4 linked regions of the Stegostoma tigrinum genome follow. The protein of the gene in region 1 purifies or fractionates together with the protein of each later gene. This does not show direct contact. Links are inferred from orthologs where the notes say so. Each region holds a gene or a part of one and is shown on either strand. Other genes may lie near its edges.

The links.
Region 2: the proteins of rab GDP dissociation inhibitor alpha (region 1) and rab12 purify together in Homo sapiens (co-immunoprecipitation; 4 studies listed by BioGRID and IntAct, counting the BioPlex papers as one, with this or other methods). This does not show direct contact. The link is inferred for Stegostoma tigrinum from reciprocal best matches to the Homo sapiens genes GDI1 and RAB12.
Region 3: the proteins of rab GDP dissociation inhibitor alpha (region 1) and ras-related protein Rab-8B purify together in Homo sapiens (affinity purification with mass spectrometry; 3 studies listed by BioGRID and IntAct, counting the BioPlex papers as one, with this or other methods). This does not show direct contact. The link is inferred for Stegostoma tigrinum from reciprocal best matches to the Homo sapiens genes GDI1 and RAB8B.
Region 4: the proteins of rab GDP dissociation inhibitor alpha (region 1) and rab10 purify together in Homo sapiens (co-immunoprecipitation; 4 studies listed by BioGRID and IntAct, counting the BioPlex papers as one, with this or other methods). This does not show direct contact. The link is inferred for Stegostoma tigrinum from reciprocal best matches to the Homo sapiens genes GDI1 and RAB10.

Annotation. Positions count from the first base shown.
Region 1 is NC_081364.1:9,593,297-9,601,063, reverse strand, and holds the start of rab GDP dissociation inhibitor alpha, read right to left. Parts: upstream 3,001-7,767; 5' UTR 2,862-3,000; coding exon 2,817-2,861; intron 1-2,816. UniProt on the Homo sapiens protein: Regulates the GDP/GTP exchange reaction of most Rab proteins by inhibiting the dissociation of GDP from them, and the subsequent binding of GTP to them. Promotes the dissociation of GDP-bound Rab proteins from the membrane and inhibits their activation.
Region 2 is NC_081358.1:113,911,417-113,918,570, reverse strand, and holds the start of rab12 (ras-related protein Rab-12), read right to left. Parts: upstream 3,001-7,154; 5' UTR 2,896-3,000; coding exon 2,625-2,895; intron 1-2,624. UniProt on the Homo sapiens protein: The small GTPases Rab are key regulators of intracellular membrane trafficking, from the formation of transport vesicles to their fusion with membranes.
Region 3 is NC_081389.1:9,829,024-9,835,980, reverse strand, and holds the start of ras-related protein Rab-8B, read right to left. Parts: upstream 3,001-6,957; 5' UTR 2,965-3,000; coding exon 2,841-2,964; intron 1-2,840. UniProt on the Homo sapiens protein: The small GTPases Rab are key regulators of intracellular membrane trafficking, from the formation of transport vesicles to their fusion with membranes.
Region 4 is NC_081357.1:131,664,880-131,672,434, forward strand, and holds the start of rab10 (ras-related protein Rab-10), read left to right. Parts: upstream 1-4,555; 5' UTR 4,556-4,872; coding exon 4,873-4,999; intron 5,000-7,555. UniProt on the Homo sapiens protein: The small GTPases Rab are key regulators of intracellular membrane trafficking, from the formation of transport vesicles to their fusion with membranes.

The sequences.
Region 1 (7,767 bases):
ATCCTATGATGCAGTAGACAAAATCCACTCAGATGGAGTAATTAGGAAGGAGAACTGGTTACTGGCATTCCTACTATTTGTAGACTAAGGCCGACTACAGATGAAAGGCTCGCAAATGACCGTTTTGGTCATCAGCACTCAACTCTTACAGAACCACACTCCATTTTAAAACCACTGCCCATGGGAGAGAAAATTGGTGTGATGGGGAAACATAAGGTATGATTCCAAAGTAGGTTAGGCCAGCTGGGAGAAGTGTTGAAAGACAAAGATCTTCTGTAAATACAGCCCTCCTATCATGAATATTTAAAAGACCAGCAATATCACAGAATATCCTAAAATTCAGACAGCTAAGTTCTCTAACAAGTCAAAAGGCACACAGTCTTTCTTTCCCACTCAAATACAAATACAGAGCTACAGAATCTATGTTCCAAATCATAGATGCATACATCATGAATTGAACATAAAAGATGAGACAGAATCAGTTTAAAGCAGTCACATGTTCCTCCTGCAGGCAAACAAACAGACTCTACAAACAAAGACTCCATTTTAAATGGCAGGCCTAAGATTTCATGCAGCATTTGACCAAGAATTCAGTCAATAAGCAAGAATGATGAAGAGTAAACTTTTTATCATAAAAGCATTTTTTTCATAAAATGTATTACAAATTTGCAGGAAAGGTTCCTTTAAAAGCACAAGTTCAGATATTAATAAATAAACCAAACACTTGTACTGATATTTATATACATTTCTACTCACACAAGGAAAACAAGGCAGCACCCACAAAACAGGTAGCAGGAACTGCAGATGCTGGAGAATCTGAGATAACACGATGTAGAGCTGGATGAACACAGCAGGCCAAGCAGCAGAGGAGCAGGAAGGCTGACGTTTCGTGCCTAGAATTTTCTGAAGGGTCTAGACCCGAAACATCAGCTTTCCTGCTCCTCTGATGCTGCTTGGCCTGCTGTATTCATCCAGCTCTACACCTTGTTATCCCACAAAACAGGTTCTCGTTTTACTTTTCTCTCTGCCACAGGAAACGAAGAAATTTCCATGAATTTGGCTCTTGGCTGGCAAAATGGTGTTGTAAGCGTTTCACCGATGAGGGAGGGGGAAAAAAGGGACAAATCAAAAGAATAAATGGGAAAAAAAATCAAAAGCTTGCTTGAAAGAAATAGGTTTTAAGGGGTTCAAATGAAACCAGGGAGGTGTGGGTGAGAACGAAATAATTCAAGAAATATGAAGGAGAGATTCTCAATGATAGGCTCAAAGAAAGTCAGGGATACAATAAAACCTCAGGGTCAGTGAGGAGGTGAAGACTTGCAACACCAGAGTTTACTTTAAAAGATAGGGATAAGCCAGGCCTTGGGAAAATATAAACTACTGAAACTACACCACTGGGGAAACAGGACAACAGTGACCATTGAAGGTAGAGAGTAATGGATAGACCAGCCATCATCTTAAAAGATGAAACATAATTAATGGATTTACTAACTGGAAAACAATAACATTTTTCACAGTATTTCATTGGCTGGTCTGCAATCATTTATTGACTGCTTTTTAACTTTAAAGCCAGTTCCTTAAAGCACAGGGCAGCACGGTGGCTCAGTGGTTCACAATACTGCCTCAGTGTTCAATTCCACCTTCAGGCGACCGTCTGTAGAATTTGCACATTCTTCTCGTGCCTGCGCGGGTTTCCTCCAGGTGCTCCAGTTTCCTCCCACAGTCCAAAAGATGGGCAGGATTGGCCATGCTAAATTGCCCATGGTGTCCAGGATTGTGCTGGCTCCATGGTCAAGCCATAGGAAATACAGGGATGATTGGGAGGGGTTATTGGATCTGGTCAGGATGCTCTTTGAAGGTTCAGTGTGCACTAGATTGGCCAAATGGCCCGTTTCCACACTGCAGGCATTCTACAATTCTGATTGATTCCTGCCACTCGATGTTAATAACAATGAGACATTTTAACAGGAGCTTAAAAGTAATAGTCTGTGACTTGTAATGAACAAAAACATTGATGTAGGGAATATATACATGGATAAAAATCTCTCTACATCACTAATGGAAGAATAGAGTAAACAATTTAGGCATTAATTTTTGATTGAAGAAAAACAAGGGGCTTCCTTTTCTCAAAGATTTGGTTAACTTCGGTATTATTTCTATTGATTTTTTCCCCCATTTCATAGCCTTGTAATTCTTTCACAAAGTGTGGGTAATAAAAGGCCAGCATTTGCTGCCCATCCCAAATTCTTGTGGCTCTGGAATCACATGCAGGGCATTTATGAATAACGTGGCTTTGATTTTTTTTAAACAAAAAGCAGTGTTTTCCAACCACCATTACAAGTAATATGTTTTAATTCGAATCAAAATTCAAAAAGCCACCAATGTAGTCTTCAGCTCCTGTCCCTAAGCCTCTGGATTACTCTAAAGGTACTCTCAAAATTTCAAAAAATAATTTTCAAAAATTAAAAAAAAAATTCTCAAAAATCAAGGGAATGCTCGAAACACACGTCAAATTAGGCAAGATTTGAGACGAGTTTTCCCCGCCTCAATAATAACTTTAAACTTTACCATTCTGAGATTTATGTAGCAAACCAACACCCACAGTGCATGCTGCATCTGAGAAAGGCTTAAGAAACGTTATATTAGTGAATAATTCTCTTTACAATATCCAAGTTGGACAATCTACATGACAGCAGCAATCCAGTCAACAGGCCACTATAATTCCATTTCCTCCACCTATTCATCAAATATTAATATCACACAGTCGGGGGTGGGGAGAGAAAGGCTGTTAGTTAAATAATAGAATAAAGGCTCACCTTCAATCCAGTCCCTAGGACAATCACATCATATTCTTCATCCATTTTTTTACTTGTTATTCACTGTACCACCGTTAATTTTTGGTTAAAAACCTGAGGTTTATTGTGGAAGGGCTGGGCTGGGCTGAAGCTGACTGGATGGAGCGGATCACCATATGCCGTGACACTACCCGCACTTCAGACGGTGTCCATCCGCCATCAGCCAATAGTGCGCCTTATTTTTTTTCCGAAGAGTTCACCGCCTTTTCGTCTCGGGATCGACAAGAATGCCTCGGGACATTGATTTGAAGGATAAGCAAAGTTCTCCGAGGGTGAAAAGCAACGAAACATCGAGGTATTCTGGAATTCCCTTCCCCCTCTTTCGACATAGTCCGAAGAAAAAGTAGTGCCACCGTCGACGGCCAGGATACAACGGGGCACTGCGCAGGCGTACAACCCGTGGGACTTCTGGGGATTGTAGTCCACAGCGGGGGGGTCAGAGTCTGTGTGCTGGATAATATGCACCGCAATGAAGCATGGGAGACGTAGTTCCAAAGTAGGGCACAATTCCCTATTCTCTACAAACAAAAACAGAAATTACTGAGAAATTACTGAAAAAACTGTGCAAGTCCGGCAGCATCTGTGGAGAGAGAAAGTAGAATAACGTTTCGTCCAGTGATCCTTCTTCAGAACACAGTCCTCCATTTCAAAATGTCATTGACAGCATTCGTCTGCATGCAAGCGTAATACAAGGCCCAGTGCAACTGCCAGGATGCTCAGGAGACATGGTAATTGAAAGATAATTCCAACTGTATTAAGGAGGAGGAAAAAAGAAGAAAATAACATTATAAGGATCGTCTTTAAATTGAAGCAAGGAACTGATCTTAAAAAAAAATTGGATATCCCAGCAGGTGTGGAGAGAGAAACAGAGACAATCTTTCAGGTCTCCATCAAAGGACCTTCTTTATCAGGAGCAATTATTTGCAGTTCTAGAGACTCTAGAATTTCTCAGTAAATTGCTGTTCAGTTTAGGTGGTAGAAATTTAAGGGAACAAGTGCAGTTTGCAGGCAAATAGGGTTCACTCCCATTTAAATTATTACCCTCATCAAAGATATTATTGTTCTTAGCCACATTTTCAATGGCCTGACCACTCCATATCACTGTAATTCCCTGCAGTTTCACAATCTTTTGAAATTGCTTCTTGAGCATCCCAGATGTTAACACTTCCTCCACTGGTGGTTATATTTTCAGCTGACTAAACCACTAAAATTTTGATAGTGGAAGGAGGAGTAGGAATAGTAGTGGTGGTAATGTCCGTGGACTAATAATTTAGAATGCACAATAATGATCTGATTCAAATTCCATTACAACATATGATAAACTTTGAATTCAGAAAAAAATGTGGAGTTAAAAAATAATCTAACTGCAGTCGATTACCTTAAAACTCAGCAAGATTACTATAATAAGATAATAGAATGTGAGGCTGGATGAACACAGCAGGCCAAGCAGCATCTCAGGAGCACAAAAGCTGACGTTTCGGGCCTAGACCCTTCGCAGCGCTGTCAGGCTGGAGGTGCGGTTCGGAACGTCGAAGCGAGGTCACGGACGGTTGCGGGTAGGGGGACCCTCGCGTGGTCGTAACGGATGGTTTGCACGGTACCGACAAAAGTTTGGCTCGAGGGATGACTTTCAATAGATCGCAGCGAGGGAGCTGCTCTGCTACTTACAAAACCCTGAGCCAGAATCAGGTCGTCTGCGAATGATTTAGCACCAGGTTCCCCACGAACATGCGGTGCGTCTAGAGGAGAGAGGTGGCGCCCATACGGCCGCGCTCCTGCCCAGAATCGAACGGCACTACGCACCGACCGGAGTCGGTTATCCCAGGCCAACCAGAGATCCGCGGCGCTAGGGTATCCTTACGTTTAGGCGGGATTCTGACTTAGAGGCGTTCAGTCATAATCCCACAGATGGTAGCTTCGCACCATTGGCTCCTCAGCCAAGCACATACACCAAATGTCTGAACCTGCGGTTCCTCTCGTACTGAGCAGGATTACTATTGCAACAACACATCATCAGTAGGGTAAAACTAACCTGTCTCACGACCGGTCTAGGCCCGAAACGTCAGCTTTTGTGCTCCTGAGATGCTGCTTGGCCTGCTGTGTTCATCCAGCCTCACATTCTATTATCTTGGAATTCTCCAGCATCTGCAGTTCCCATTATCTCTGATACTAAGATTACTATACGTCCTTTAGGGAAGAAAACCTGCTATCCTTTCCCGGTTTGGCCTACATGTGATTCCAGACCCACAACAATAGAGTTGACACTGGATAATGAGGGAAGAGCAATAAAAACAGACCTAGTCAGAGATGCCACCTTCTGTGAATTTTTAAAAAAAATTTCATAAATTTCTTTGCGACATTCCTTGAACCTTCTTCGATGAAATTATTGGCCTTCTGCCACAATGTTGCTTTACATGGCTTGGCATTAAATTTGGTTGTTTAACTTGCCTGTGATTTGCCTTGGGACATTTGATTACATTTAAGGCATTGCATAATTGTAACTCGACGTGGTTAGCTTGTATGTTTCATACCTGAATCTTGGACACACTGAATTCACCTACAACTCACAGGCCAAAATTCTTAAGTATGTCAAACATGAAAACTTGAATTTGATTTACGCAGAGGCCCTAAGATAAAGTCAGGAATTAAGTATTTGATCTACAATAAAATCCAAACAATAAAATGACATTCCATGATTCTATTTACTGTTATCCCAAATTAAAAATAAATGATGACGAAGTTGTTTCATAATGGGCTAAATTTAAAAAAGCTCAGATTTAGGAATGGCTGGGACCAACGTCATTTCTCTTCATGCTGCAATAGTAAGACAAGCTTGTAGGAAATCAGAGCAGGAAGTCCATTCAGCTCCCTAAGCCTGCTCTGCCACTATTTAATAAGATAATTGCTGATCTGATTCTGGCCGGAACTCCTCTTCTCTGGCCTGATCTGCATAACCCTTGTTTCAAATTATGTGTTTAATGGCTGCCACACCCGAATGAAAGCAAATTACAGTAGATGTTGAGGTCACATGACCAAAGGAAGATCAGCTAGTAGGTACAATGCGCAGATGCAAACATCCCCTTTTAGACAGAGAAAGAAAATTGTACGCACTATTTTCAGCAGCTATGGGTCACCCAAAATGATCACTCATGAACAAAACTGAAAATTCTAGTCTATCCCACTTTCATCAGTCTGTATGTGCATGCATTGACTTGTTTTCTCTGAGGTTTTCAGGTCTTTTGATAAGATTTAGTTGAGTAACTGCCAGTTTGTCTGGTATCTGTTCATTCCTAGGGTGATGTTCTTTTCAAACAGTTACATGTCACAGACCAATCCATGCCGAATATAATCCCAAACTGAACTCGTCTCACCTGCCTGCTCCTGGCCCATATCTATTCATATATTTTTCCAAATATCTTTTAAACATTGTAATTGTACCTACACTTCATCAGGAGATTTATTCCACATGCAAACAACCCTCTGCGTAAAAAACTTAACCCTCGTCTTTTTTTAAATCTCTCGCCTCTCACCTTAAAAATGTGGTGCCAAGTCTTGAAAACCCTCCACTATGGAAAAGACAATGAGCATTAACTCTATCTACCCCTCATTATTTTATAAACCTCTATATTGTTCTTTCAACTATGACTTCCAAAGCATTTTGAACTGTTGTTACTAGTCTTTTGATTTGAGTTAAGCTGCTTCTTTTCTGTGAATGAATACCAATGCAAATCCTGGGCAGTGAGTTTGCACAGATGTTTGCACTCTGATGACAAATCAGGCAAGAATTTTGCTAAACAGTTCATCAAAAATCTGATGAATCATTGTACTGTATTTACACCTTTGCAACAACTTTCACCTTGCCAAGATCCAAGCAAAGTCGTTTACCATCAGTATATGCCCTTGATCCAGCCATCTTCAATTTCTTTTGTTTTCTTGCTCTATTCTCTTAACATATATTTTCTTCCGTTGTGTGATTACTGCCTCTTCTGCTTTGACTTGCTTACAATTAACTGCCATTACCTCAAAGAACAATATCTTAGCCTTCTTATCATTCTATCCTTTTCTTTTAGGACTTCTGAGTCAGTGGGGCTGCAAGTTGATCTGTCTTGTATTTCTTTGAGGACAGCTGAAACTCTCCTTGGAAGATGTTGAGTTGGTCATACACTTTCACCTACTTCAAAATGATATTTACTGGGAGATGTCCAAGAACTGTAAGATCATATCTTTAATTATCTAGGATCTGTTCAACAGTCAGCAGCTCAGTGGCATAGAAAACATTTCAGATCTCTAAAATAACAAAGTGTGAAGCTGGATGAACACAGCATGCCAAGCAGCATCTCAGGAGCACAAAGGCTGACGTTTTGGGCCTCGACCCTTCATCAGAGAGGGGGATGAGGAGAGGGTTCTGAAATAAATAGGGAGAGAGGGGGAGGCGGACACAGGCTGGGCTGGTTTTGGGATGCAGTGGGGGAGGGGACGAGCTGGGCTGGTTTTGGGATACAGTATATTCCGCTTGGGAACCCTGCAGCCCAATGGTATCAATGTGGACTTCACAATCTCCACTTCCCCACTGCATCCCAAAACCAGCCCAGCCTGTGTCCGCCTCCCTAACCTGTTCTTCCTCTCACCTATCCACTCCACCCACCCCAAGCCGCACCTCCATTTCCTGCCTACTAACATCATCCCGCCTCCTTGACTTGTCTGTCCTCCCTGAACTGATCCATCCCCTCCCTGCCTCCCCACCTATACTCTCCTCTCTACCTATCATATTTTCTCTCCATCTTCAGTCCGCCTCCCCTCTTTCCCTATTTATTTCAGAACCCTCTCCCCATCCCCCTCTCTAATGAAGGGTCTAGGCCTGAAACGTTAGTTTTTGTGCTCCTGAGATGCTGCTTGGCCTGCTGTGTTCATC
Region 2 (7,154 bases), on another chromosome or scaffold:
GAATGCTTCTGTCAAAGGGTGCTTTACATTAACCATTTCTATCTATGGACACTTGAGAATTCACAGCATCAAGTTCTTATTTCCGATTTCAAGCATCCTTTTATATTTTGCTTTTGAACTTTCTCACCAAGTAGTCAGAAAATAAATTTTACAATCATGGTAGGGCCCTGGGGAGTGTTGTTAAACAGCGAGACCTATGGGTTCAGGTACACAGTTCTTCAAAAGTTTCATCATAGGCAGACAGGATCGTAAAGGCGGCAATTGGCATGTTTGCCTCCACTGCTCAGACTCTGAGTGAAGCAGTTGGAACATCATGTTGCAGTTGTACAGGACACTGGTGAGGTTACTTTTGGAGTACTGTGTCCAGTTCTGGTCACCCTGCTGTAGGAACCCTTACCTTTAGTTACCCTTATTAATTTGGAGCGGGTGCAGAAAAGATTTACAGGATGTTACTGGGACTCGAGGGCTTGAGTTTACATAGAGAGACTAGATAGGCTGGGAGCAAAGGAGATTTGGGGGATTGTAAGATCTTGTTGGGCATGGATAAGTTGAATAGCAAAGGTTTCTTTCCTATGGTAGGGAAGTTCAAAGCTAGCAGTTATACTTTTAAGGTGAGAGGAAGATTTAAAAGGGACCCGAGGAGCAAATTTTTCCACAGAGGGTAGATCGTGTATGGAATTAACTACCAGAAGTGGTAGATGCAGGTACAGTTACAACATTTAAAAGACATTCATACAGGTACATGAATAGGAAAGGTTTAAAGGGATATGAGCCAAATGCAGGTAAATGGGACTAGTTTAGTTTGGGAAACGTGGTCAGTATGGACGAGTTGGACCGAAGGGTTAGTTTCCATGCTGCATGACTCAACCCTTTTTTTCATATATAGGGAATAGGGAAACAAGAGAAATTCCAAATCTCAGAATTAGTGTTTATGATGCAAAATAGTTATCAAAGTAAATTCAAGAATTAACAAAATCATGTCAAAAATACCCATGTCAAATTACTCAAATATAAACATGTTAGAACCTTCCAAGAATATTGACAGGTGCTTAATATATGTGGATGACAAATTGATTCAACAACAGGTTGCATTCACGCAGTGCCTTTAACACAGTAAAACAAAGCAAGATACCAAACTGGACACTGTGCTACGACAGGAGATATTAGAGTCAATGCTCAGTCAACGTATTTTCAGAAGCAAAAACAGAAATTGACAGAGCAATTGAAGACAGGAAAAGTAAAGAGGTTTAGCAAGGAAATACCAGAGTTTAGAGCATCGGCAGGAGTCAACAATGTAATTAAAGTCAAGTTGTCATAGATGTGTGTCACAAGGAAGGGAAAAATGTCACTCTGCAATAACTGCTACTCCCTGCTCACACTACAACGCTAATGACACCACTAGCGGAAGAAAACAGATCCCAAATAAAAGTAGTGTGTTGATCCTCTCCTGTTACTGCTGCATCAAGTGCTCTTTGCAGACAAACTCAATGCAATGTGAGATTATTGTACAGGTTCAATATGAAAAGGGTGGTTAAAACAAACATCCAACTCCCTGCTAACCAAGTGCTTCTGGAGATCAGGTACCATGAAGACTGGATGGAGGTGGTCCTCAACAGAAGGGAGATAACAAAGTGTGGAGCTGGATGAACACAGCAGGCAAAGCAGCATCCCAGGAGCACAAAAGTTGACGTTTCAGGTCTAGGCGTCAAATATCAGCTTTTGTGCTCCTGGGATGTTGCTTGGCCTGCTGTGTTCATCCAGCTCTATACTTTGTTATCTTGGCTTCTCCAGCATCTGCAGTTCCTGTTATCTCAAAGTGGCTTGGTCCTGGGCCCCAGATGATAGGGGGTCCAAAGGCATGAGGATCTGGAGACAGAGGTCCAAGACATTTGGTTTCAAGGAGGTGGGAGAGAAGGAAGGCCTGGTGAGTGAGGGTCCTGAAGAAGAATGCATCCTGTGAAAACAAGGGTCCAGATGAGAGGGTGTGCTCTGGACAATGTGGGTCATGGACATTGGGTTGGACCAGGGAAGAGTATGGTCTTAGGAGAAGGGAACAGGTGACCTGGAGTAGGGAAGGGAGGGGGGGTGGTTCATCCTGGGGTAGACAAGGTGGGGGGGGCGTGCGATCCTGGGGAAGACAGAGGGGGTTGGAATTCCAGAGGCAAGAGAGTAGGTCGAGGGGAGTACCTGGATGAAGATGATGGGGGGGGGGCGCGCGGGGGAAATCAGGCGGAAGTGGGAATTCCGGGGGCACAAGGTCCAGGATGGGGGGGGGGGGATTGGGGAGGGAGTGGGATCGGGGGAAGGAGTGGGGCTGGGATCGGGGGAGGGAGTGGGGCTGGGATCGGGGGAGGGAGTGGGGCTGGGATCGGGGGAGGGAGTGGGGCTGGGATCGGGGGAGGGAGTGGGGCTGGGATCGGGGGAGGGAGTGGGGCTGGGATCGGGGGAGGGAGTGGGGCTGGGATCGGGGGAGGGAGTGGGGCTGGGATCGGGGGAGGGAGTGGGGCTGGGATCGGGGGAGGGAGTGGGGCTGGGATCGGGGGAGGGAGTGGGGCTGGGATCGGGGGAGGGATTGGGAGAGGTTCCTACCACCCCCACCCCACCAGACCCAGCCCCAGACCTACCGACAGTGGATTTGCAGGCCTCGCTGAAGGTGTCGTCTGTGAAGCGTTCCATCAGGCTGGTCTTGCCAACTCCCCGGCTGCCGATGATGATGACCTGCAGCTTGTAGTCGGCGGGCCGAGGAGGCTGCCTCCTGCGCCGCGAGCTAGCGGGACTGGGCTTCGGGGAGGCCCCGCCGGCAACCGGCAGGCTGTTGGACGAAAGGGACCGGGAGTTGGAGCTCAGGCCTCCCCCGCCGGGCCCTCGCCTCTTGGCTCCGGCTGTCCGATCCATCGGCCCCCGCTGTCCCTCCTCCTACCCGTTACTGTCGCCTCTTCCCTTCCGCCAACAACACTCCGCCGTCCGGAGGGCCAGGTCCGAACCCTCCAGTATCCCACATAGCACTGCGCGGGCTGCCTGACGTCACGCCCCGTCCCACTCTCACAGGTGGAGCCCCGGAGCTGCAACACCGCGGCAAACCGCCAGGGCGGCGCTGCGATAGGGTGAAAGGCAGCAGTGAGTTTCAGGAGTTGATTTCGCCCATGCTAGATAGGCGTTTACATTGGTTGTCTTTATGGAGTATTTTTAATATACTTAAAGATCTCAAACTACTTCACAACAGGCCCCAAGCCACTTAAAAATGTACAATTTGACAGCCCAAGGCTAGGTCAAAGTATCTTAAAATTTGGAATGATAAAGAAGACAATTTGAATAGTGTAGATGTCTTAACCAGTTCTCTAGCATCCCATTCTTCTCTGTTTTTGTGGCATCCTCTACATCGGGGAAACCAAGCGGAGGCTTGGGGACCGCTTTGCAGAATACCTCCGCTCGGTTCGCAATAAACAACTGCATCTCCCAGCCGCGAACCATTTTAACTCCCCCTCCCATTCTTTGGATGACATGTCCATCCCGGGCCTCCTGCACTGCCACAATGATGCCACCCGAAGGTTGCAGGAACAGCAACTCATATTCCGCTTAGGAACCCTGCAGCCCAATGGTATCAATGTGGACTTCACAAGCTTCAAAATCTCCCCCTCCCCCCACTGCATCCCAAAACCAGCCCAGCCTGTCTCCGCCTCCCTAACCTGTTCTGCCTCTTACCCATCCCTTCCTCCCATGTCAAGCCGCACCTCCATATCCTACCTACTAACCTCATCCCACCTCCTTGACCTGTCCGTCTTCCCCAGATTGCCCTATCCCCTCCCTACCTCCCCTCCACCTATCTTCTTTTCTCTCCATCTTCGGTCAGCCTCCCCCCCCCTCCCTATTTATTCCAGGACCCTCTCCCCATCCCCCTCTCTGAAGGCGGCTCTAGGCCCGAAACGTCAGCTTTTGTGCTCTTCAGATGCTGCTTGGCCTGCTGTGTTCATCCAGCCCCACACTTTGTTATCTTGGATTCTCCAGCATCTGCAGTTCCCATTATCTCTGCCAGCAATAACATGGTTTATGGGTGGCAATCTAATGAATCATTCACAGCCACTTCTCTCAAACCAGGCAGGTGGCTCATGTTTTGCTTCGGGCTCTAGTATCATGATGACTCCTGTAAAAATACACTGCAATTCTCTTGCCATCAAATGGAAATTTTATTCACTTCTGTTTCATTCCTGCCAATGGCCGATTAAATGCGATGCAGATGAGCTTGAAAATTTCATGATTTAGCCGGATTTTGTGGGCAGGAAATTGGCTGTTGGAGAGTGTGGTGGGGGCATGGTGATGGTGGAAGGGAAGAATTTGAAGCTGCTGTTCCCACTCCTTCCCCAGTTGGATAAACTGTAGTAGACGCCCAACATCGGGTTCCTTAGTGGGGAAGGAGCAGCAATGATAGGCCAGAATGACATGAAAGTGGAGCATGGGGGCAGGGAGATGGATGTGATTGACAATAGAGCACGTGCTCAATCCTCCCGCGCTCTCGAGCATGTGGTAGTTGACGTTGTGCATGCGGTTGGGTGAGGGAAAGGGGTTGAGAAGCGGGATGGATCTAAAAGTTTCCGCAGGAGAGTGGCCGTCATTGTCTGTGGGCGAGAGTTGCTTCCAGGTGGCAAGATAAGGGAGAGCATTGGCCAAATCCCCACTTTCCATTTCTTCCAGAATCCACCCCTCTTCTCCCACTCCATTCCCCAATGGAAGGAAGAAATTCCCTTCCCCATTGGAACTCCTTTTACACCTGGCACGATTTTATGGTTATTCGTTCATTGGGCATGGGGGTGTGACTGATTGAACCAGCATTTTATTGCCCCTCCCTTGGTTGCTTTTGGAGGGGGTTGGGGTGAGCAGCCTTCTTCAACTGCTGCTGTCCATGCGCTGTGGGTTGCCCCACATTGCCGTCAGGGAGCGTTTCCAGGATTTTGACCCAGAACTCCTGGTGGTGTTCCCATCTGTCTGCTGTCCTTCTAAATGGAAGTGGTTTTATGTTTGGAAGATACTGTCCTAGGAGACGTGGAAAACTTTTGCACTGCACCTTGGACTTGTGGTAGCAATGCCAGAGGTCAGTTTGTGTTCCCAGCAGCGTCTGTGTGTTCAGCGCAGATTCATGGAGGTAGAAGCAGAGACGGGTTTCAGTGCAGTATGAGACCCAGTGGCAACAGCAGTGGCTGCATTGGCAAAGTGTGCCTAAAGTGGACTCAAAGTGTTGGTGCAATTGAGTTTGGGCTGGTGTTTTACCCATCGGCATCGGTGTTACTTGCATTGGTGAGGACCAAAGAGGGCACTGGTGGAGGTGAAACAGAAAGCAATGGTCAATAGATGTTTTTCTATGTTCTCCAGGGCTTGGTATTGGGACCCTTACTTTTCCTGATATTTGTTAATGATCTAGATCTTGGTATGCAAGACAACGATTTCAAATTTAGCAGAAAATACAAAACTTGGAAGTGTAAACTGTGAGGAGGACAGTATGGAACCCCAAAAGGACATTGACAAGTTGGTGGAGTGAGTGGATCGGTGAAAGATGAGATTCAATGCATGAAAAGTGTGAGGAGATGCCTCCTCTGATGCTGCCTGACTGACAAACTCTTTGTGTCACATTTACTGGAAAACTAAAATCCCTCAACAGTACAGAATTCTGAAATCGTTTTATGTTTAAGGAATACCTTGTATTTTTTATTCTTTCTACCAAAGTGACCAATTTAAATTTTTCTGAATCATACCTTATCAGCCAGATTCTTCCCCATTCACTTAAACAATCTAAATCTATGTACAATTTCTTTGTTTTCTTCACAACAAACTATCTTAATTATCATAGTGTCTTCTATGAATTTAGCCTCCATGCCTTTGCTTTCCCCCCTCTAAATCAGGAATATAAATTGTAAAAAGTTGAGGCGCCAGCAGAGAACGGTGTAGAATTCTATTCATAACATCTTGCCAATCAGACAAAGACCCATTTATGGATACCCTCTCCCTTCCGCCAGTGGACCAATCTTCCATCCATACTAATATTGTTATCTCTACACAGTGAGCTAGCAGTTTCAACAATAAACTTTGATGCAGTTCCTTATCAAATGACTTCTGGAAATCCAGGTAGACTGCACCTACAGATTCCCTTTTATTTACAGTAAATGGTACACCTCAAAAAAACCACAATAAATTGAGTAAGATTTCCCATTGACCAAATGGTGACTGTTGCTGATTACCTTGAATTTTTCCAACTGTGCAGCTAAAATCTCTTTAATGATTTTATTCCAACAACTTTCCCATAATCCTGCTCTGATTTCCCCATCAAGATAATTCGTTATATTTTCCTGTTTTCTCCCTCCTTACCTTCATATATTTGAGTTATATTTGCGACCTTCCAGTTTGATTGCAATGTTTCTAAGTTGAGGAAATTTTTAAAACTAAGCACCAAAGCAACCACTACTTCATTAACAACCTCTTTTAAGATCCCAGGATAAAATCTGTCTGGACTGGGAAACTAGTCAGCCTGCAGCTCCATCAGTTTGCTTGGTATTTCCCAGTTAAGATGGCAGCAGAGCAGGACACTCCAACCAGAGCTCATCCACACCACCGACTGTTCTTCTTTTGCTTCTCTGTTTCCTCCTCCTGGTACTGTTTTCTCTGCTGCTTTTTCCCTTTGACTCCTGGTGTCTGGTGACCTCCGATGAGCTCTGGCGAGGAGCGATGATCCCTGGCCTGCGACGATGATTCCTAGCCTCTGGCGATGCAGCAAACTCCTGTAGCAGTTTCCCGCGTAGTGTGGTGACCTTCTGGCCTCCTACAGCGGCCTCCCAGTGTGCCATGTTGCCTCCGCAGCATGAAGCCAGGGCCTTGTGCAGACCGGAAGCTAAGTGCCAGCGTGGTCCACTGTACTGAACATTTTTCTGTAATATTGGACATTTTATTTCTTTATTGTCTAAAATCTTGTAACAAAAGAAGGTGTGCATAAGTACTTCTGTATGTAAGTTCTCACTGTAATTGGTGACGAGTAAATGTTTCACTATACTCATTGAGCAGCTATGACAATAAAGGCTATTATGTTCTTTAATTATAGTTATAATTTTGCTAAATTCCTCTCCTTTCAATTCCTGATTTACAATTATGATTGGAATGTTTTTAGAAATCCT
Region 3 (6,957 bases), on another chromosome or scaffold:
GGTTTTCACAACAAATTTTTGTTAAGGGTTGTTAAATAAAAAAGTTAATTATGTATAAATAAAGGCAAAAATATAAGATTAACATAGGCACTACTTATAATCAGTGTCTCAGCCATATTAACGACTGCCCTTTAGCCCTGCTCTGCATGCAGATGGTTGGTGGTGGTGAGGGGATGTCCGCTGTTTTGAAAATGCACCTGCAGTTCATTGAAAATGTTTGTTTCGCTTTTTTTTAAAAAGCATCAACTTGATGCAACACTGGAACTACACTACATTCACATCCTGTCTAAAGTCAGGACAAATTTCAGTTCAAATTCACACACAACTTCAGTTATCTGTACAAGCCACAACCACATTGCATGAACATGCTAGAGTTAAATGTAAATGTACCTTAGGAAAAGATCTGAAGTGTGCAGCGAATATACATCATACCTAGCTATAAAGTTCACAGTTGATGTTAGTTTATTCAGTACTCCTAGTAAATATTAAAAGGCTTAACAATATACTGCAGGAGAAACAGTAGGCAAGATAATACAGTAACATATGTTCATTTTGTACTACAATTTTAAATCCATCACCATAAAACACTCACCAGTACCACTACTGGGGCCCCATCTCGACAAACTGACAGGCATTTTTATATTCATTCATGGGACGGGCAATAAATGCTAGACAGCGACACCCTCATTCCATGAACGAATATAAAAATGCCTGTCATCCCATGAGGGTGTCACTATCTAGCATTCATTGCCCATCCCTAATTGCCCAGAGGGCAGTTAAGAGTCTGGAGTCGCATGTAAACTAGACCAGTTCAGGACCTTAGTGATAATGGGAACTGCAGATGCTGGAGAATCCAAGGTAACAAAGTGCGAAGCTGGATGAACACAGCAGATGAAGTCTGACGAAGGGTCTAGGCCCAAAACGTCAGCTTTTGTGCTCCTGAGATGCTGCTTGGCCTGTTGTGTTCATCCAGCTTCACACTTTGTTATCAAGGACCTTAGAGAACCAGTTGGTTTTCTCAGCAATCCACAGTAGATTCACAGTCATCAGGCTCTTAATTCCAGATATTTATTGAATTCAAATTCCACCATCTGCCATGGCAGGAATTGAACCCGGGTCTCCCAGAACATTACCTGGGCCTCTGAATTAATAGTCCAATATTACCAGTAGGCCATTGCCTCCACACTGACCAAGGAATCAACATATGAAAAGATTCTGTAACTATTACACTGCGATCATCTGCTAACATACTCATGTTCTGATTCTAAGCAACCACCAAATCTCTCAAGAGGAAGCACAAATATTTCATTTGAGAAAATCAAAAATGAAAGACCACTTCCGAGAAGCAAATGTCAGTTTTTGTGTTGAAAAAAACAAACAATTTAACTGAGACTTGTATGCAATAGAAAAATGGCATTTTTTCCCAAAAAAGGTGACTGAAGTATTTTTGAATTAGTATAAATTTTCAAAGCTCAGTTGAGACAAGTAGTAATATCTCCACAGGTGTACGAAACAATATTCAATTTGGTTTCAAACATCCTAAGTATGAAGTTTATTTTTGAAACATGCTACAAAATAATATGCTTTTCTGAAAGTAGTTTACTACTGACCAAAGCACTAAAGTATCCACAAATCTGTACAATATTTTAAAACATTTGCAACTTGGGCAAAAAAAACATAACCTGAAACACTGACCTCTAACTTCTAACTCAATTAAATTAGTATTTTTGCTCAATTACATTCCAAAACAAATTTCATTCAGATCTTTACTTCCAAAATTCCAGCAAATATCTGATACTTAATATTCAAGTTTCAAATGTGTCTCAGCAGTAGCTCTCCTGCTCGTACTTTGAAACTGCAGATTCACAGAGTTGTGCCACACAAGAGGTTCTGCTCCACAGAGGCCACCAAGAATCACATAAAGACTCTTTCACCCTATTCAACATCAGGCCAATTTCTGGCATCCCACTGCCTGAACCAAAAGTCTTTTAATTGGGAACTTGCCTTGTTTATAGAGATAGGAGAGAGTGTGGGGTAATAGAAGCAGGGGTTCGGAGGTTGAGGGAGCTGTAGGGAAGAGATGGAAAGGTGGTAGGAAGGAGTAGATTGAGGTGGTTTAGCAGGGAACACGCAAGGGGTCAGAGGGGGTGGAGGGCCATGGGCATCAAGTGGGACAGGGGCAGCTGTGGGGGAGACCTGGGGGTGGAGGCAGGTAAGGGGAAATACAGGAGATGGTAAAATGGGGGGAGGGAAGAAGTGGACAGTCAGAGGGGGAGTGAATAGGGGTGAAAAATGGGGGGGGCGGTAGGGGTGAAAAATGGGGGGGGCGGTAGGGGTGAAAAATGGGGGGGGCGGTGGGGGTGAAAAATGGGGGGGGGGCGGTGGGGGTGAAAAATGGGGGGGGGCGGTGGGGGTGAAAAATGGGGGGGGCGGTGGGGGTGAAAAATGGGGGGGGCGGTGGGGGTGAAAAATGGGGGGGGCGGTGGGGGTGAAAAATGGGGGGGGCGGGGGGGTGAAAAATGGGGGGGGCGGGGGGGGTGAAAAATGGGGGGGGCGGGGGGGTGAAAAATGGGGGGGGCTGGTGGGGGTGAAAAATGGGGGGGGCTGGTGGGGGTGGAAAATGGGGGAATGGGGGGACGGGGGGATAAGATGGGGGTGATGGCGGGGTAGGATGGGGGTGATGGCGGGGTAGGATGGGGATGATGGCGGGGTAGGATGGGGGTGATGGCGGGGTAGGATGGGGGTGGGAGGGGATGAGTTGGGGCGCCCCTAAAGCAAACGGCAGGCCCCGAGATTGGCGCTCTCCCCCCCCCCGATCCCTCCCTCACTGCCGAACTCACCTATGGTGGAGATGAAGGTCGTGTTAAAGGCGTCCTCCGAGAAGCGGAAAAGGAGGCAGGTTTTACCGACGCCGCTGTCGCCGATCAGCAGCAGCTTGAAGAGGTAATCGTACGTCTTGGCCATGGCGGGCGGGAGCTGACTGCAGCCGACGGTGAAACCCAGAACTCTGCGCGTGCGCGGACGCTGGGGGCGGGGCCTCACGCCAATCACATGCTCTACGGCTGATTGGCTTTCGTCCGACGTACGCGGGCGCCGTGCGTGAACGTCAACGCCGCAATGACAACTGGGGATTGTAGTCATTTCTTTCTTCAACTCCTCGTTCCCCAACAGGCGATGGTCTGTAACTACAGATTGTTCTAAATTGGGACAGTTACACTAACGTCAGCAATGTGGACGTGAATCTCATTGATTTCCTGTCTACTCCTCCATGCCCCAAACCACTGCAGTCTCTAAAATAAAGAACTACAGATGCTGGTAATCTGAAACAAAAACAGAAAATTGCTGGAAAAACTCAGCTGGTCTAGCAGCATCTGTAGAGAGAGACAGAATTAAAGTTTGAGTCCAGTAAGCCTACTTCAGAGTGGACTGAAATGTGATCTCTGCTTTCTCTCATTACATTTGCTCCCAGATCTGCTGAATTTTTCCAGTTATTACTTTTAGAATAATTCTTTAATGGGATGTGGGCATCATTGACTGGTTAGCATTTGTTGCCCATCTGTACTTGCTCTTGAATTTAGTGACCTGCTATGTCATTTTCAACATCATTGCTATGTGTCTGGAGTCACATGTAGGCCAGACCAGGTAAGAAGGGCAGATTTCCTTCCCTGTAGGGCATTACTGTACCAAGTAGGTCTTTACAACAATCCTCCACAAGTCTGGGCCCCCTAAGGTAGAGTTCAGCTCCCCAAAATGTAGGATTTAATCACCAAGTAATCTCCCTAACAATTCAGCCTTACTCCATCTGAATTCCCCGGGTATGATAATGTGGGGTAGGTGGTGGCCCAGTGATATTATCGCTAGACTATTAATCCAGACATTCGGATAATGGTCTGGGGACCTGGGATTGAATCTGGCCAAAGCAGATGGTAGAATTTGAATTCAATAATAATCTGGAATTAGGAGTCAAATGATCACCATGAACCCATTACCGATTGTCTAGAAAACCCATCTCATTCTCTAATGTCCTTTAAGTAAGGAAACCTGCCATCCTTACCTGGTCTAGCCAACATGTGACTCCAGACTCACAGCAATGTAGTTGACTCTTAACTGCACCCTGGGCAATTAGGGATGGGAAATAAATGCTGGCCCACCCAGTGATGCCCTCATCCTATGAATGAATTAAAACAAAATAAATTGCACTCTCATGGAATCATCTTAGATTAGTTCACCAGTTTTCAGGCTTGGATTTTTTGCTGGTCCCACCCAACTCTTTGCCACTAGGCCTTTGTATTATAGTACTGCCAAGAACTGAACACTGAGCAACATATATCTGTTTTCCCTTAAGCAATTTTTTTTTGCAGGCTCATTTTCCAGAAATCTACTATCTGAGCCAGGAAATCAGGGCTGCAGGGGCGATTGTACAGTTTGTGTTCTGTCCCAGAAAACCACATGGGGATGAATAGATCTGAACAAATCTTGATGTAATTTTCTGCTTATGTAAAGAAATGCACATTACAAGTTTACACCTCCCTTCCCAACAGTGACACTTTTGGTCTGCATCCAATTATAGTGGACTCAAGTATAGGTCCACCATGAGCAAACCATTACACATATTTAAGATAATCAAATGTGAGGCTGGATGAACACAGCAGGCCAAGCAGCATCTCAGGAGCACAAAAGCTGACGTTTCGGGCCTAGACCCTTCATCAGAGACCTTCATCAGACACATATTTAATATGCTTTGTATCCGGGCTTAAATTCCAGAGAGCTCATAAAGATGGGAGGTGTTCTCATTTTAACATTGAAAGTTCCAATATTCAGCTTTCAGTTCAGGTAAAATACTTTGGATGAAATGCTGTGTCTGAAATATATACGTAAGTTAATGAACATAAACTTTTAAAACATCTGCTAAAGAGATGTTTGTCATTGCGAGAAACTAAAATAACATAGCCAGAAGGATAGGAGATCAAGTTTGACCAAACTTGAAATTTTAGGTGACATTAAACCAAAGTCAATGAGAGAAAATAGAATCAGAGGGAGGTGAGGTGCCCTTTGAGATTCTGGAAAGACCGAGTTAAAATTGTACTTCTGGCTCCTGGTCAAGGAAATGATACGAAATGTTTTAAGTTGTCCTCAAGTTTTGGATACTGGAAAAGCAAGTATAGATAGTGAACTGAGGCTAGTAAACACTGATGTTTTAGGTAGACATAGAGTGAAGGTTGTTCTGTACAATTGCAGAATATCACAGTCTTCTCTATTCCATTGCTTCCCCAGGACTCCTTTGGTTTATTGCTACCAATTTCTGCGAATGAATGGGTGACTGACTGACTGTGTGGCTGAAAGAGTGGATGTGTGAGTGAGTAAGTGAGTGAGTGGCAGTAGATGTATGTAAGTGAGTGAGAGAGAGAATGCAGGCACGAGTGAATGAGTGCGTAAGAGAAACTTGATGTCTGCATTACTCCGACTCTAGTTTCTCATGCATCAACGTCCTTTGATCCATTTTTGTGATTATGTTTTTAGCACATTTTAAGCTCTGGAATTCCATCCCTAAACCTCTCTGCCTCTCTTTCTCCTCCTTTAATGGACAAAACCCTCTTTAAATGCTATCAAAAGCTTTTGACCACCTTAGAATTAGAAATGGAATTAGAATTAACTTTATTGTCACATGTCCTCACATGAGTATAGTGAAAGTTTACAAGTCACCAATTATGGCACCATCTTCAGTACCAAGTACCCAGGTACAGATTATGAAATACAAATTCTTAAGGAAAATTTTAGAAAAATAAAGAAATAAAATGTCCAGCAATAAATAAGAAAAGTAGAGGAATAAGAGGTCAGAATAACAGTCCTTCCAACCCACACCACACCAGGCTTCACCTTGAGGCTGGGAAATCGATTCCGCACTGAGTCCACGTTGAGGCCAGGAGCCTGGGTCCGCGCCGGGGCTGGGCTTCTGGATCCGTGCTGAGGTCATGAGTCTGCACTGGCTTTTACCCTGGATGTCCTTGATGCCACCCAAGAATGCAAGGTGTAAACAGAATGGAAAGAAATGCAAAAATAGTGAGAAAAACAGAAAAGAAGCAGATAGAGTGGATGAGGTCCTGCTCAGGAGTCCTACTCCACTGCCACCCGTCCTGGTATTTGTCACTTTGGCTAATTTCAGCCTGAATACATGCTCATAAAGCAGCATGCAATGCTAACATACATTAAAGTGCTGTATGAATGTCATGTTATTGATAATGATTTAACTGCCAACCAATCATCAAAGATTGATTATATATAACAAAGTGTGAAGCAGGATGAACACAGCAGGCCAAGCAGCATCTTAGGAGCACAAAAGCTGACATTTCGGGTCTAGCCCCTTCATCAGAAAGGGGGGAATGGGGAGAGGATTCTGAAATAAATAGGGAGAGCGGGGGAGACAGACCGAAGATAGATAGAGGAGAAGACAGGTGCAGAGGAGAGTATGGGTGGGGAGGTAGGGAGGGGATAGGTCGGGGGGGTATGGGATGAGGTTAGTAGGTAGGAAATGGAGGTGCGGTTTGAGGTGGGCGGAGGGGATAGGTGAGAGGAAGAACCGGTTAGGAAGGCGGGGACAAGCTGGACTGGTTTTGGGATGCAGTGGGGGGGAGGGAAGATTTTGAAGCTGGTGAAATCCACATTGATACCATTGGGCTGCAGGGTTCCCAAGTGGAATTTGAATTGCTGTTCCTGCAACCTATGGGTGGCATCATTATGGCACTGTAGGAGACCCAGGACGGACATGTCGCTAAAGAATGGCAGGGGGAGTGGGAGGTGCAGTTGTTTATTGCGAACCGAGCGGAGGCGTTCTGCAGAGCGGTCCCCAAGCCTCCGCTTGGTTTCCCCAATGTAGAGGAAGCCACACCGTGTACAGCAGATGCAGTATACCACATTGGCAGATGTGCAGGTGAACATCTGCTTGATGTGGAAAGTCAT
Region 4 (7,555 bases), on another chromosome or scaffold:
ACCTACGCATTCACACACACACACGCACGTACGCATTCACACACACACGTACGCATTCACACACACACGTACGCATTCACACACACACGTACGCATTCACACACACGCATGTACACATTCACGCACACACGCGCATGTACGCATTCATACACACGCATGTACGCATTCACACACACATACGTACGCATTCACACACACACGCACGTACGCATTCACACACACACGTACGCATTCACACACACACGTACGCATTCACACACACACACGTACGCATTCACACACACGCACGTACGCATTCACACACACGCACGTACGCATTCACACACACGCACGTACGCATTCACACACGTACGCATTCACACACGTACGCATTCACACACACGCACGTACGCATTCACACACACGCATGTACACATTCACATACACACACACACGCATTCACACACACATGTACGCATTCACACACACGTACGCATTCACACACACGCACGCACGCATTCACACACACGCACGTACGCATTCACACACACACGTACGCATTCACACACACACGTACGCATTCACACACACACACGCATGTACGCATACACACACACACGTACACATTCACACACATGCATGTACAAATTTACACACACACACGCATGTACGCATTCACACACACGTACGCATTCACACACACACACGCATATACGCATTCACACACACACGTATGCATTCACACGCACGTACGTATTCACACACACGCACACACGCATGTACGCATTCACACACACGTACGCATTCACACACACATGCACGTACGCATTCACACACACGCACGTATGCATTCACACACACATGCACGTATGCATTCACACACACGTACGCATTCACACACACGCATGTACACATTCACACACACACGTACGCATTCACACACATGCATGTACACATTCACACACACACGCATGTACGCATTCACACAGGCACGTACGCATTCACACACACATGCACGTACGCATTCACACACACGCACGTATGCATTCACACACACATGCACGTATGCATTCACACACACGTACGCATTCACACACACGCATGTACACATTCACACACACACACATGTACGCATTAACACACACACACGCACGTACGCATTCACACACACACACGCACGTACGCATTCACACACACACACGCACGTACGCATTCACACACACACGTACGCATTCACACACACACGTACGCATTCACACACACGCATGTACACATTCACGCACACACGCGCATGTACGCATTCATACACACGCATGTACGCATTCACACACACATACGTACGCATTCACACACACACGCACGTACGCATTCACACACACACGTACGCATTCACACACACACGTACGCATTCACACACACACACGTACGCATTCACACACACGCACGTACGCATTCACACACACGCACGTACGCATTCACACACACGCACGTACGCATTCACACACGTACGCATTCACACACACGCACGTACGCATTCACACACACGCATGTACACATTCACATACACACACACACGCATTCACACACACGTGCACGCATTCACACACACGTACGCATTCACACACACGCACGCACGCATTCACACACACGCACGTACGCATTCACACACACGCACGTACGCATTCACACACACACGTACGCATTCACACACACACACGCATGTACGCATACACACACACACGTACACATTCACACACATGCATGTACAAATTTACACACACACACGCATGTACGCATTCACACACACGTACGCATTCACACACACACACGCATATACGCATTCACACACACACGTATGCATTCACACGCACGTACGCATTCACACACACGCATGTACGCATTCACACACACGTACGCATTCACACACACATGCACGTACGCATTCACACACACGCACGTATGCATTCACACACACATGCACGTATGCATTCACACACACGTACGCATTCACACACACGCATGTACACATTCACACACACACGCATGTACGCATTCACACACACACACGCACGTACGCATTCACACACACACACGCACGTACGCATTCACACACACACACGCACGTACGCATTCACACACACACGTACGCATTCACACACACACGTACGCATTCACACACACGCATGTACACATTCACGCACACACGCGCATGTACGCATTCATACACACGCATGTACGCATTCACACACACATACGTACGCATTCACACACACACGCACGTACGCATTCACACACACACGTACGCATTCACACACACACGTACGCATTCACACACACGCACGTACGCATTCACACACACATACGCATTCACACACACGCACGTACGCATTCACACACACGCATGTACACATTCACACACACACACACGCATTCACACACACGTGTACGCATTCACACACACGTACGCATTCACACACACGCACGCACGCATTCACACACACGCACGTACGCATTCACACACACGCACGTACGCATTCACACACACACACGCATGTACGCATACACACACACACGTACACATTCACACACATGCATGTACAAATTTACACACACACACGCATGTACGCATTCACACACACGTACGCATTCACACACACACACGCATATACGCATTCACACACACACGTATGCATTCAAACGCACGTACGCACTCACACGCACGTACACATTCACACACACGCACACACGCATGTACGCATTCACACACACGTACGCATTCACACACACACGTACGTACGCATTCACACACACACATATGTACACATTCACACACACACATATGTACACATTCACACACACACGTACGTACGCACACACACACACGCACGCACGTACGCATTCACACACACACACGTACGCATTCACACACACACATGCACGTACGCATTCACACACACACGTACGCATTCACACACATGCATGTACACATTCACACACACACGCATGTACGCATTCACACAGGCACGTACGCATTCACACACACATGCACGTACGCATTCACACACACGCACGTATGCATTCACACACACATGCACGTATGCATTCACACACACGTACGCATTCACACACACGCATGTACACATTCACACACACACGCATGTACGCATTCACACACACACACGCACGTACGCATTCACACACACACACGCACGTACGTATTCACACACACACGCACGTACGCATTCACACGCACGTACGCATTCACACACACACGTACGCATTCACACACACACGTACGCATTCACACACACGCATGTACACATTCACGCACACATGCGCATGTACGCATTCATACACACGCATGTACGCATTCACACACACATGCATGTACGCATTCACACACGCATATATGCATTCACAAACACACACGTGTGTTTGCACACACGCATGCACGCATTCACAAACACTCACATGCGTTTGCACAAATGCATGTATGCATTCACAAATACACAAATGCATGTGCACACACGCATGTACGCATTCACAAATACACACACATTTGCACACACGCATGTAAGCATTCCACACTCCTACCACTCTTTGAGTAAAGAGCCTACCTCTGACGTCTCCCCTGTATCTACCTCCACTCACCTTAAAACTGTGTCCCCTTGTAAAAGCTACTTACAACCTAGGAAAACATCTCTGGTTGTCTACTCTATTATACCTCTGATCACTTTGTACACCTCTATCTAGTCACCTCTCGTCCTTTGTCGTTGTAAAGAGAAAAGCCCTATCTCTCTCAACCTTTCCTCGTAAGACCTTCCCTCCATTCCAGGCAACATTCTGGTAAATCTACTCAGCAACATTTTGAATGCATCCACATCTTTCCTGTAATGAGGCGACCAGAACTGGACACAATACTCCAGATGTGGCTGAACCAGGCTTTTGTATAGCTGGAGCAAAACTTCATGGCTCTTGAACTCAATCCCTCTGTTAATGAAAGCTAACACACCATACGCCTTCTTAACAACTCTATCCACCTAGGTGGCATTTATATACATACACACACACACACACACACACACACACACTTGCACACATGCATGCATACATATGCACATACATACACATGTACACAGATGCATGCATGTAGAAATGTATATGTATGTAAACGTTCATGCATATATATCACATATACATGCATACACACATATATACATGCATTCATGCACATTTACACGTACACACACGTGCAGACATGCATTCACACATATACATGCTCACACCTGTACATTGACAAACACACAGACATATACACATACATACATAACGTCAGCTATCTCACCAAAGGAACACACAGTCCTGACGCCGCGCCGGCGATCCTCATCACCCCATGACGTCATCCATTCGGGCGGGCTGTCGATCGATGATTGACATGTGGAGACCCCACCCCTCCGTGGTTTGGAGAATGAACGGGCGCTTCGTTCTGAGTGGGCGGGGCGGACTATTCCACTGATGGAGAGTGGTTTTGAGGGGGGGGGGTGTCAGTGTTTTGGGTGGATGCCCTCCATGTGGTTGCGTTTGGTTTGTCCGAAGACTGACGTCGACGTTGAATGAAATTGGTGGTGCTGCTCCCGAATGTCTTAGCGAAGTGAAAAGAAAGGGAGAAAGAAAAAAGAAAGTTTAACTAAGGGCACGGTTACCGGCCCGTGTGCCAATTTTTATTTTGTTTTGAACAAGGCAGATCAATGGAAATTCATGGCATCTAACTTGTTGCGGCCGGAACGCTGTTAAAGTGAAAGAGCTAGAGAGGCGCCATTTTGTTCCTTTTTTTAATTATAAAAATAAGAACACTCCTCGCCCCAGCTCATCAACCTAAGGAAGGGAGGGATTATGGCGAAAAAAACCTACGATTTACTCTTCAAGTTGCTGCTGATCGGAGACTCCGGAGTGGGGAAAACCTGTGTGCTTTTTAGGTTCTCGGATGACGCCTTTAATACCACTTTTATCTCCACAATAGGTAAGTGAGGGAGAGAGGGCGGTCAGTGCCTCCGGCCCAGGCCCAGGCCTGTTCAGCTGCCGCTGTCTTGGGTGGGGGCTCTGGGCGGATGTCCGAACCACAGTTTGGGCCTTGCGCCTGATCTTACAGTTTTTTTTGTTGTATAAATAACAGGATTGTCCAGTGTAATGTAGTGAAGCCTCGGCCAGGGGGAGTTTTAGGTTTTTTGAAAAAAACTGAAAACGTATGTGTCCCTCAACATTTCTTCTGCTCATGGTGGCAGGATGTGCAGTTAAACCTGCTGAGGTTGATATTTGTCCAGAAACACCATTTGGATCATTTCGTTTGTTTTTTTTAGTGTGTATAAACTGTGTTTTGTGCCAGTATGGTTTGTCATTGCTTTCTGAAGCGCCGATTGCATTTTAAAACCAAGCTGCCGTTTTTATGCTAAACTTGGTTAATGGTATCTTGGCCTTTTGGAAATCGTTTTAAATGGTTTTAGGGCTTCTAATTTGAGCGTTTTTCTACTTTACAACAGCACTATACATAAAGCGTTCTGGTTCGAAAATTGGTTACGGGAAGGAGAAACAGTCAGAAAAATCGCCTGTTCTTAGGTTGGGCGGTTGTCACTGGTGTGCTCTATTGCCAGGTCCTAATTGTTCATCATATGTTTCAAGAATTTGGGTGTGGGGACTATATGTAACATTTCCAAGTTTGCAGATACTACAAAACATGATGGGAATGTGTATTGTGACGAGGATGGAAAGATGCAAAAGGGAGATTCAGGCAGGCTATGTGAATGAATAAAAACGTGGTAAATGGAATATAAAATCTCTTAAAATTATGGGAGACTAGGAAGTGCTGATGTGCAAAAGTCACAGAGCACGTTGTTAGGAAGGCAAGTAGTATATTGACCTTAATGTGAGAGCATTTTAGTTCAGGACCAAAAAGATTTTGCTGCCAGTTTTTGGAATCTTGATGGCAGTGCACCTGGAGTAGCATTGTGTACAGTTCTGGTCTCTTCCAAAGGAAGGATGTACTTGCCAGTGAGAGAGAGAGAGAACAAAACTGATTTGCCAAATTAATTGCTGGGATTTTATGATTGTCTAAGTAATGACGAGGCCTATTATCATTAGGTTTAAAGGAATGAAAAGTGACTTAATTGAAGGTTCTTTAAGAACTTGTCAAGATAAATGTAGGAAGGATGTTTCTTTCAGCTGACGTTGTCTAAAACCAGGTGACACAGTCTCAGAATAAGAGGTAGACCAGATAGGGCTGAGATGAGGTGAGATTTCCTAGCTCTGAGTTGTGAATCTTTGAAATTCTCTAGCCAAGAGGATGTGATGATTTATTTGGAGTGTGTTTGAGACTGAGGTCAGTAGATTTTTAGGTTGTTGAAGACAAAGGGATAAGAAGATTCTGTGGGAAAATTGCATTGCTGGAGATCATTAGTTCAGTGATTAAGCAGACTCGAGAGACTGAGTAGTTTATTGCTGATTCTCTTCCTGTTTTTAAATGTGCTTTCATTTTAAACAAAAGGATTAGTTTATTGACAATTAATTTCTTTTAAACCTGTTTAGGACAGTTGGTTGAGAAAAGGTCAGGTAGCTAAAAAGTCATAGTATGACTGGAGATTTAATCTCTGAATCTGTACATATAAATATGAAGGCTGCTGAAAATTTCCCAAGTTGTTATATTTTTTAATAAATATGTTTCATTTAAATATAGTTTGCATTTTAACTTCTCAGTTAACTAACATGGCCTAATCAGAGGAAGTGATAAATTCTTGTTGGATACAGTCTAGTTACCATAGCTCAGTTGTTAATTTGGTTGTGGGTGTGGTCAGTTGCAAACAAAGTACTATAAATCATTTCCACAGTTTGCTATTTAGCTCCTTGTGCCTCTTCGGACTCTGAATGAAATCATGGTTGATCAGGGATCTGGTGCTATGTCCGTTGCTGGACTTTATTAACCTAAGCTTTCAGTCTTAAATTTAGAATTAACAATTGACCTAGAATGGCAGAAGAGAATTTCAAGCATTTGCAAGCTTTTGTGTGAGAAAATATTTCCTAATTTTATTCCTGAAAGGTCTGGTTCTAGTTTTTGATTCTCCCACCTCTTCCTAGGCTCATCAAACAATAGTTTCTTTTAGCTAGTAAATTTTTTTGGGGGTTTAGTGTCCAGATTGCTTGTTGTGCCTCACATGTGATTTAACTAGGGCTTTGTATAGCTGTAGCATGACTTCTGTTCCTTTGTGTTGAAGTTTGCATTAGATTTGAAGGCCAGCATCCTATTAGCCTTTCTAGTTATTTTCTGGACCTGTCAGTGTCTTTAGATCTGTCATTTCTAGCTTTTAACTATTTTTTAAAAAAATGAAGTATGTTTACAGGTCAAAAGTGAGAGTTCATGTTAGGCTATGTTGAAATTTGTTTGCCAACATGAAGTCCATTTGCCACTGTTTTGCCTATTGAATTAATTGATATCCTTTGTAATTTTTACTTATACCCATCCATTTTCTAGCAAGCTTGGATTTCTTCATGTCATTTAAATTACTATTAAAGATGGTGAGACCTCTGA